Linked DNA regions of Arabidopsis thaliana. The protein of the gene in region 2 interacts with the protein of the main gene of each other region in a pairwise test. Each region holds a gene or a part of one and is shown on either strand. Other genes may lie near its edges.

Region 1 (3,924 bases), on a different chromosome or scaffold from region 2:
GAAAATGGATCAGGCTAACATGTGGCTTGGGGCGCTATTGTACCAACGTAGTGAGGATATCTACAGAATGAAAGGTATCCTCTCCGTACAAGACATGGACGAGAGATTCGTGTTTCAGGTGACCAACCTTTGTCATTATTTTGATCATTTCGGATGAATTCTAAAGCATCGAAGCCTTGGGATGTAAATTATCTCTGACGTTTGTGGTTTATAATGGTTGGAACAGGGAGTTCATGAAATATTTGAAGGATCACCTGACCGGTTATGGAGAAAAGATGAAACAAGAACCAACAAGATTGTTTTCATCGGCAAGAATTTGAACCGGGAGGAGTTAGAGATGGGTTTCAGAGCTTGCTTGATTTGATTATAGGACCAAATATTTAAAATCATTCCATTTTGTAATCAACTGGTCAATAGATTTTTGAACAAGAAATATCGTCTAAAGCTTGACACTAACTACAAGAGCCTGAATCAAGAACATATTAAAGCCTTCACCGTACAAAAAGTGAGTCCCTTTCTAACACAAGCGGCAAAACTACACAAGATCCCAAAACCAAAATGCCCATAAGTTAGAAGGTAAGATTCCTACTACTGACGACCAAGTAAATTCCTCCACTTATCCTTCAAATCCACCTCGCTCCTATCAGCGAAAACAACAGGGTATGAATTCTTGATATCTTTCCATGATTTTCCATATTCTTTAACTCCTTCCCTCAAAGCTGCCACTTCTTCAGAAGTCCAGAATTTCATTGGCCTTCTGGGACGCGGTCTTTCTAATCTTCCTTTCTTCAACGGTGATACATTCAGAGGTTCCGGGGTTGGTAGATGAGGCCTGACTCTTCTAGACGATGATGTTCCCTCACTATCTTCTGCATCAGTCCTATTTGCCCCATCAGGCTGAGGAGTGACATCAACTGAATGCTCCATTGCATTGTTAGGTTCTTGATCTTGCCTTGTTATAGGGTCGATGAGTCTTTGAATCTCCAACAAAAAATCCTTAAGCTCTCGAGCTACCAACATTTCCCCCTTATTAAGACTTGGCTCGTGTTCCTGTTCATGTTCATTCACCTTACCAACCCCATCAGGATTCTCCACACCACCCACTTCTTCAACATCATTAGCTTTCTCTCTATTACCTCCTCTCCGGGAAGCATATGGTGAATCCTTACGCTTAAGAAACCTCTTTCGAGCTTCTGATTCAAGAGAAGAACATCCAAGTAGTGCCCACTGCTCTTTGAGAAGCTGATTAAGATGAGAGATGGCATTGTACCTGATGTTAGTCTCACGAATCTTCTGGTAAATCTCAGGTTCCTCAAACGCCTTGTTTAGATCACTCTCCCATTTCAACAACTCACGAGTCACCAAGTCGCTCTCTTTCTCCTTCAATGTCCCAATCCGATTCCTCCAAATCCTCTCAAGGGCATCACCGAAGAAGCCATCCGAAGCATTCACTGGCCACATAAACCTAAGCGTGCATTCCACAGCAGTCCAGCAATACGCAGATTTGAGAGATCCCATGATAACCGAATGTTCCTGTAACAGAAGCTTCTCAAGAATTTCGAGGAGATCAAGCATTCCTTCGTCTACGGTACCTTGAATCATGGAATTGGAGATATCCCGCAAAACAGCAGTTAGCTTGAGTTTTACACAGTCGTCGGAATCTACTGGTTTCAGAGCCGATAACAGTGGAAAAGCGTAAACCCTAGGATTTAGTTGGCGTCGGAGGAAAAATTCAGCTACCCATTTGTCCATCACTTCCATTTCCAAGACTTTGCAAGTAAAAGATGCGAAAACCCGCGATCAGTTTTCGCCGTCGGTGCGTGGTTAGGGTTACAATTTTGGGAAGAGGAAAAGCTCCGACCAACTATGGTGGCAACAACACACGTGTGAATCATTCAAATTTAAAATGTGTTTTTTTCTTTTAATTAAATAAGACGAGACATTCAAGCGGCCCATTATATAATCGGCCCATAACGAAACGATGTTGTCCTGATCCGAATCGGGTGGGTGACCCGAGATCATTGGAGACAGAGAAAAACAGTAATGACTTTTGAGCAATACAATGTTGATCCAATACAAATATGGCCGGAGAAGGAGACAATTTGTCCGTATTTGTTTCCGGCGACCAGAGGGATAAGCATTTCCACAGATACATTTAGAGAAAAAAAGACAAGTTTATTGATACCAAGCCAAAAGAGACCCCAACATACATATGAACACACCAAAATCCCTTTTTTATTTTCCACTCTTGACGTTTTCCAAAAAAGTCACAACTTTTTATTTTTGAATCTAGCATAATCCAATCAAACTTGTGATCTTAAGATGATGATGATGATGATGATGATGATGATGATATATCATTCATAGGAACAACACCACCATCATTGAGCAATTTCTGCTCAGTTTTCTTGGGCGATTGAACCTCCCCACCAAACATTTGCTTCCTGTATTGCTGATGTAATCTCCCAAACAGCTCCTTCTTAACAGACTCAAAAGCCATATCCAATCTCTCCAACTGTTCAAGAGCATTCGGATTATACATAAACAAACCGTAGAAAAGCTCAAAGCTATCACTCGATGTGTTCTCCACCAAATCCAACAACGTCTCATAACCTTTGGTGTTAATCGGCGAAGACTCAACTCCATATTTCTCCAAAACCCTTCCCATAGTATGCGTCACGAATTGCGATCCAGCTGCGTAATAATCATGCTTCTCACAGCTCATTTCAACCATCTTGCAACCTTCATTCTCAAAAATTCTTAGAAACTTCTCACACCTCTCTTGTCTTGAAGCTGCGTCTCCGATTCTCACCTTATCGTAGACAAAGGGCAAGCCAGACCAAGAATGCTTACCACTCTCAGGTCCAAACATTGGATGAGTACAGAGAATGTCAAACTCCTTAGGAAGGTATTTAATGAAGAGGGCTTTTGGGAATTCCTTAACGGAGAGAACATCGACGAAGAGTGTGCTACGACGGAGACGTTGGAAAGGGAATGATCTGAGGACTGATTCTGTGGAGAGGATTGAGGTACAGAGGAGGACAACGTCGGGATGTTGTTCACAGAGATCGTGAGGGTTATCGAAGAAACGAGCTCCGATTGAGTTTGCGGCGTCGGAGTAATCGGAGCGGGAGTGAGTGATTAGATCGTGGCCGTGTCGAATTAGGGTTTTGGAGAGGAATTGGCCGAAATTGCCGAAACCCAAGACGGCGATTTTGAGAGCAGAGGATTTGCGGTACTCGGATTTGAGTTGGGTTTCGTAATCGAAGATTTGGGCGGCGTCGATTGCTCGAATTCGAAGAGATCGCGGCGGGGAAATGAGGAATGTGGGTGAATTGCGGCGGAGATTGGGTGGAGAAATGAGGGGTTTCGCCGGAGAGAAATGGAGTAGCATTGTGAGTAGTGTTGATTGAGTTTTAGCTCCAAAGTTGGGAGCTTAGAGAAATCTGTGAGAATAGAAGAGGAAGAAGCGGTTGCGCCAAAGGAGGAAGAAGATGCGAGCGAGCCTCAAAAATAAACGGATCAATTTTATGTCGTGGCCTAAACGTGGTGATGCTGATTGACCCAAGAAAAACAAAATGCTAAATACACAACAACACAAGGACCATAATGGAAATAAAAAATTGAGGTCAAAATTAAAAGTCGTTCCAAGGAAATTTGTAGGTACTGTTTTGTATTCATTTGTATTTAGTAACCCGCATTTACAATATTTCTTTTTCTGAAGGACTAGAGTTTTTATTTGTCCATAATTTTATTTTGATTTGTTACTTTAAAGTTCAATCTCTTCCTATATATGAATCTTTAAAAAGAAAATTTCGTAATTTTCATATGCTGACTATAGTTGTTGTTTTTTGGTTTTCTATTAATTTGGCTATTTGTAGTAATTTTTATTAGGATTTAGGAGGGTTATTGATATTTCCCTCG
Region 2 (3,924 bases):
ATGCTATAGTATTCAGCCCGTCCCATGTCTTTAAAGAAACTGTGCTCGGGTCCGACTCCAGGGTAGTCCAATCTGTAAGAGAAAATCAAACCATGTTCATGCAGCCGTGGCTAACTGAGTAGACTTATTATGGTTACCGGATCTGAATAGAGAATTTCACTTACCCTGCACTGATGGAGTGTGGTTCAATGATTTGTCCATCATCATCTTGCAGCAAGTAACTCATAGCTCCATGGAGGACACCAACATCTCCCTTTGTCAATGTAGCAGCGTGTTTGCCACTGTCCAATCCGAATCCCGCTGCTTCCACACCGATCATCCGGACCTCTGTGTCATTCACAAATTCATGGAAGAGTCCCATAGCGTTTGAACCACCACCGACACAAGCCACCAAGACATCCGGCTTCCCGCCCCATTTCTCCAACGCTTGTTTCCTTGTTTCTTTACCAATCACAGCGTGAAAGTCTCTGACCATCATGGGGTAAGGATGAGGACCCGCCACAGATCCCAATATGTAATGGGTAGTCTCCACATTTGTCACCCAATCTCTTATCGCTTCAGATGTCGCATCCTTCAATGTCGCTGTTCCAGAGTGGACTCCTCTCACCTATAGCACCAGACACCCAAAAAAAGGTTCAGTAACAAAGTTTATCACATTTAAAAGAGATGGAAATGAATCCTAAGCATCACCTCGGCACCAAGAAGTCGCATTCTGAACACATTGAGTGCTTGTCTCTCCATATCTTGAGCACCCATATAGATAATACACTCCAAACCAAAACGGGCACACACAGTAGCTGTAGCCACACCATGTTGACCCGCTCCTGTCTCAGCAATAATCCTCTTCTTCCCCAACCGCTTAGCAAGAAGAGCCTGAGCCACAGCGTTGTTAATCTTGTGAGCTCCTGTGTGATTCAAGTCTTCTCTCTTCAAGTATATAAGAGGCCCTTCGCCATTCTCGCGCCTGTAATGCTCCGTAAGCCTCTCTGCAAAATACAGAGGACTTTCTCTACCCACATAGTCCTTCAAGATTCCAGCCAACTCTCTCTAACAAAGATTCATTCACACAAATACACAAAGGACATGAATGAGACATTGAACCAGAGGAACCAAAACCATATTTCTAACCATTTCATAAATGAACAGAACCAATTTCATTCAAATGCCCTAGAATCAACATATCCCATCAACAAGATCCGAACTTTATCACAACCCGCAAATGATAACGCTACAATTCCAACGACCCACAACGCAAAATGTCTCATTTTTATCTAATCACGAAGAACAAGGTCTCTACCTGGAAATCATCGTCGGTGGCAAGAGCATAGAAAGCGGATTCAAGCTCAGATAGAGCGTGCATAAGGGTTTCAGGTACATACTTCCCACCAAACTTCCCAAACCGACCGAACGAATCGGGTCGTTGCCACAGGGCCGGGTCAGATCCGGCGGCCATGAGAACAGGCGGGTCCTTGGCGATGGTGCAGGAGACGGAGAAGGATGATGACTTGGAGCGAGACGATGGCAGAGGCGTATATTTGACAGCTTTGAAGGGTGATTTCAAATGGGTCAATTGGGAAGAAGAGGAAGGAGCTGAAGAAACGGAGGCTCTGAAAGTAGCAGAGGTGCCTGAGGCTGCCATTACTGAATGAATCTCTCTCTGAGTCAAATATATTCTTCTCCTTGAAATATCCTTTCAAAGTAACACATGTTTTTATAGATAGATTTTTTTTTTTTTCAAAGAGAATTGGTCAAAATCTGACCACAAAATTCATATTAAAAAAATATATTTGTAAAATCCTAAATCTGCTTTGATCAGATTTGATAAATTTGGTTATTTGTTGTCTTCATAAAAAAAAACAAAAAAAAACAAAAATTAAATATTGATTAAAATTTAACAAATCGCAAATATTTAAATTTGAATTTTTATATATCTATTTCCTTTTGGAGATATAAGCAGACACATGTAAGCAGACCAAGAGAAGAAAAAAAAAGTTGGTAGGACTGGGGTAAGTTGGATAGTATTTTAAGTTTTTAACACATGGTTTTCAAAAACATATCCAATTGAGCCATCACCTACCAATATTTTTTTGTGTTCATCTAATTGTTTATTAGATAGATGAAAAAATGAAACACAAGTTGGGAATTGGGATACTATATTGGCAAGAGTCAATAACACTTTCAAAAACAATGTATTGAAATTAGAATTTTAAAAGATTTGTGTAGAATTTATAAATCATATGTTATTCAAACATGTATTTTAAAAAATCTCATGAAATTCAGTGTTATTGAACTAATTATTTCAAAATCCACCTTAAAATTCACTGTTATTCAGAACAATTTGTGGATTTGAATTTTAATGATTTTGGAGGATTTGAGAGGATTTTCTTAGTTCAAAATACAGAAATCCAAATCCCATGATTTAAGGTGAGATTTTAATAGATTTTACAAAAATCATACGAACTTTTTTAAAATCGTTAAAATTATTTAAAAACTCAAAGAACTCAAATCACTTTAAATTCTAATTTAAATACATCCCCCAAGCCTATATAGATAACAAAAAGTTTTCATAAACTAAACCCTAATATAGAGAATAAAAATAAAAATAAAAGAAAATAGAGAAAATAAACACATATAATTGACGGAGAAAAAAAACATAGGAGTTATAATCCGCAGAATGCAGAAAACACAGAGAAATCCACTTTACATGAAAACACTTAAAAATTTTCAAAAACTCTTTCTTTAGTTTTCGAGATTTGTGTTTAATCTCTTTTATCTAAAATCACCTTAAAATTCTAAAGACTCTAAAAATCTTCGGGTTTGGTTATGTTCTGTTAATTTGGATTTAGTAAAACTATAACCAAACTCAACCAAAATTAGTTTAATTTTGGATTGTATTTGGTTTGGTTTAGTTTTAATTTGATTAGGTTTTAATTCGGATTTTAAACACAAATCTCGAATCACTAAAGATTTACGCGTGTGGGCTTGATCCCTCCAAGTTCAAAAACTCGGGATTGCCTAGAAAGCTCTCTATTGGTTGGATCAAGCTCACAGAGGCCGAGTCTTTGTTATCAAACTCTCCTACGCTCAAGAGTCTAAGTCTTAGTTACTGCTGGAGTATTGATATCAAGAACTTTGCAGGAGATATGAAAGAATTCGTATTCGATAACTGCGACTTCTTCCCTAAAAAGCCTTGTTCCTTTGACCTGCCTAATGTAGAGATCTTTAAGTACGATCAGGCTCAATTCTCTCCTTCCATGTCAAGAGAATGAATAGGAAACTAAAACAAGTCTACTTGGACTTCTGCGCAGAGGGCGATTACGATGAACCGAATCAAATAACCAAATTAGACGGAACAGTTCTTTCTGGCTTCCTTAACAGTTTTCGAGGGGCAAGGACCTTAAGTGCCTGCCCTTATCTCCTTCAGGTATATTTAAGTCTTAACATATTTACAATACATTTTACATTATTAACATATCTTTGAGAACTGAAGAAAATAGTACTAGCTAGGTATGAAACTTTTCAGTAGTCTAGTGATTAAAAGTGAATGGTTTAATGTAGTTTCCTTATCTAATACCTTCAATCGATTACGTTAAATTTGGTGTATATTTAAGACCGTTAGACATTAATCTTGAGCGGAATATGTGTATTTTTCTTTTTGAAGGCTATCCCAGAATGTGAAGATCCCATAAGACGGATCCCAGAATGTGAAGGCTCATCGTTTATATTATAAGTCATATTGTGGCATCAGTCCACGAACATGTTGGCAAAAGAACCTTACCTATAAGTCTCTTCCTAAGACACTTAAAACGGTGGTGGTAAGAAATTATAGTGGTCGCTTTAATGAGCTAAATGTATTGAAGTTTTTGATTCAGTCCAGAAGTGGACATGCGGATGGGACTATGTTGGAAACAATGGAGCTTTACA

The links.
Region 1: the proteins of TSB1 (region 2) and TRFL5 interact in a two-hybrid assay, tested with the Arabidopsis thaliana proteins (one large-scale study listed by BioGRID).

Annotation. Positions count from the first base shown.
Region 1 is NC_003070.9:5,403,975-5,407,898, reverse strand, and holds TRFL5 (TRF-like 5), read right to left. Parts: upstream 1,875-3,924; 5' UTR 1,762-1,874; coding exon 589-1,761; 3' UTR 413-588; downstream 1-412. Other genes in the region: AT1G15730 (Cobalamin biosynthesis CobW-like protein), read left to right, coding at 14-118, 227-364; AT1G15710 (prephenate dehydrogenase family protein), read right to left, coding at 2,318-3,394.
Region 2 is NC_003076.8:22,265,100-22,269,023, forward strand, and holds the start of TSB1 (tryptophan synthase beta-subunit 1), read right to left. Parts: upstream 1,804-3,924; 5' UTR 1,640-1,803; coding exon 1,298-1,639; intron 1,048-1,297; coding exon 691-1,047; intron 608-690; coding exon 165-607; intron 73-164; coding exon 1-72. UniProt on the Arabidopsis thaliana protein: The beta subunit is responsible for the synthesis of L-tryptophan from indole and L-serine.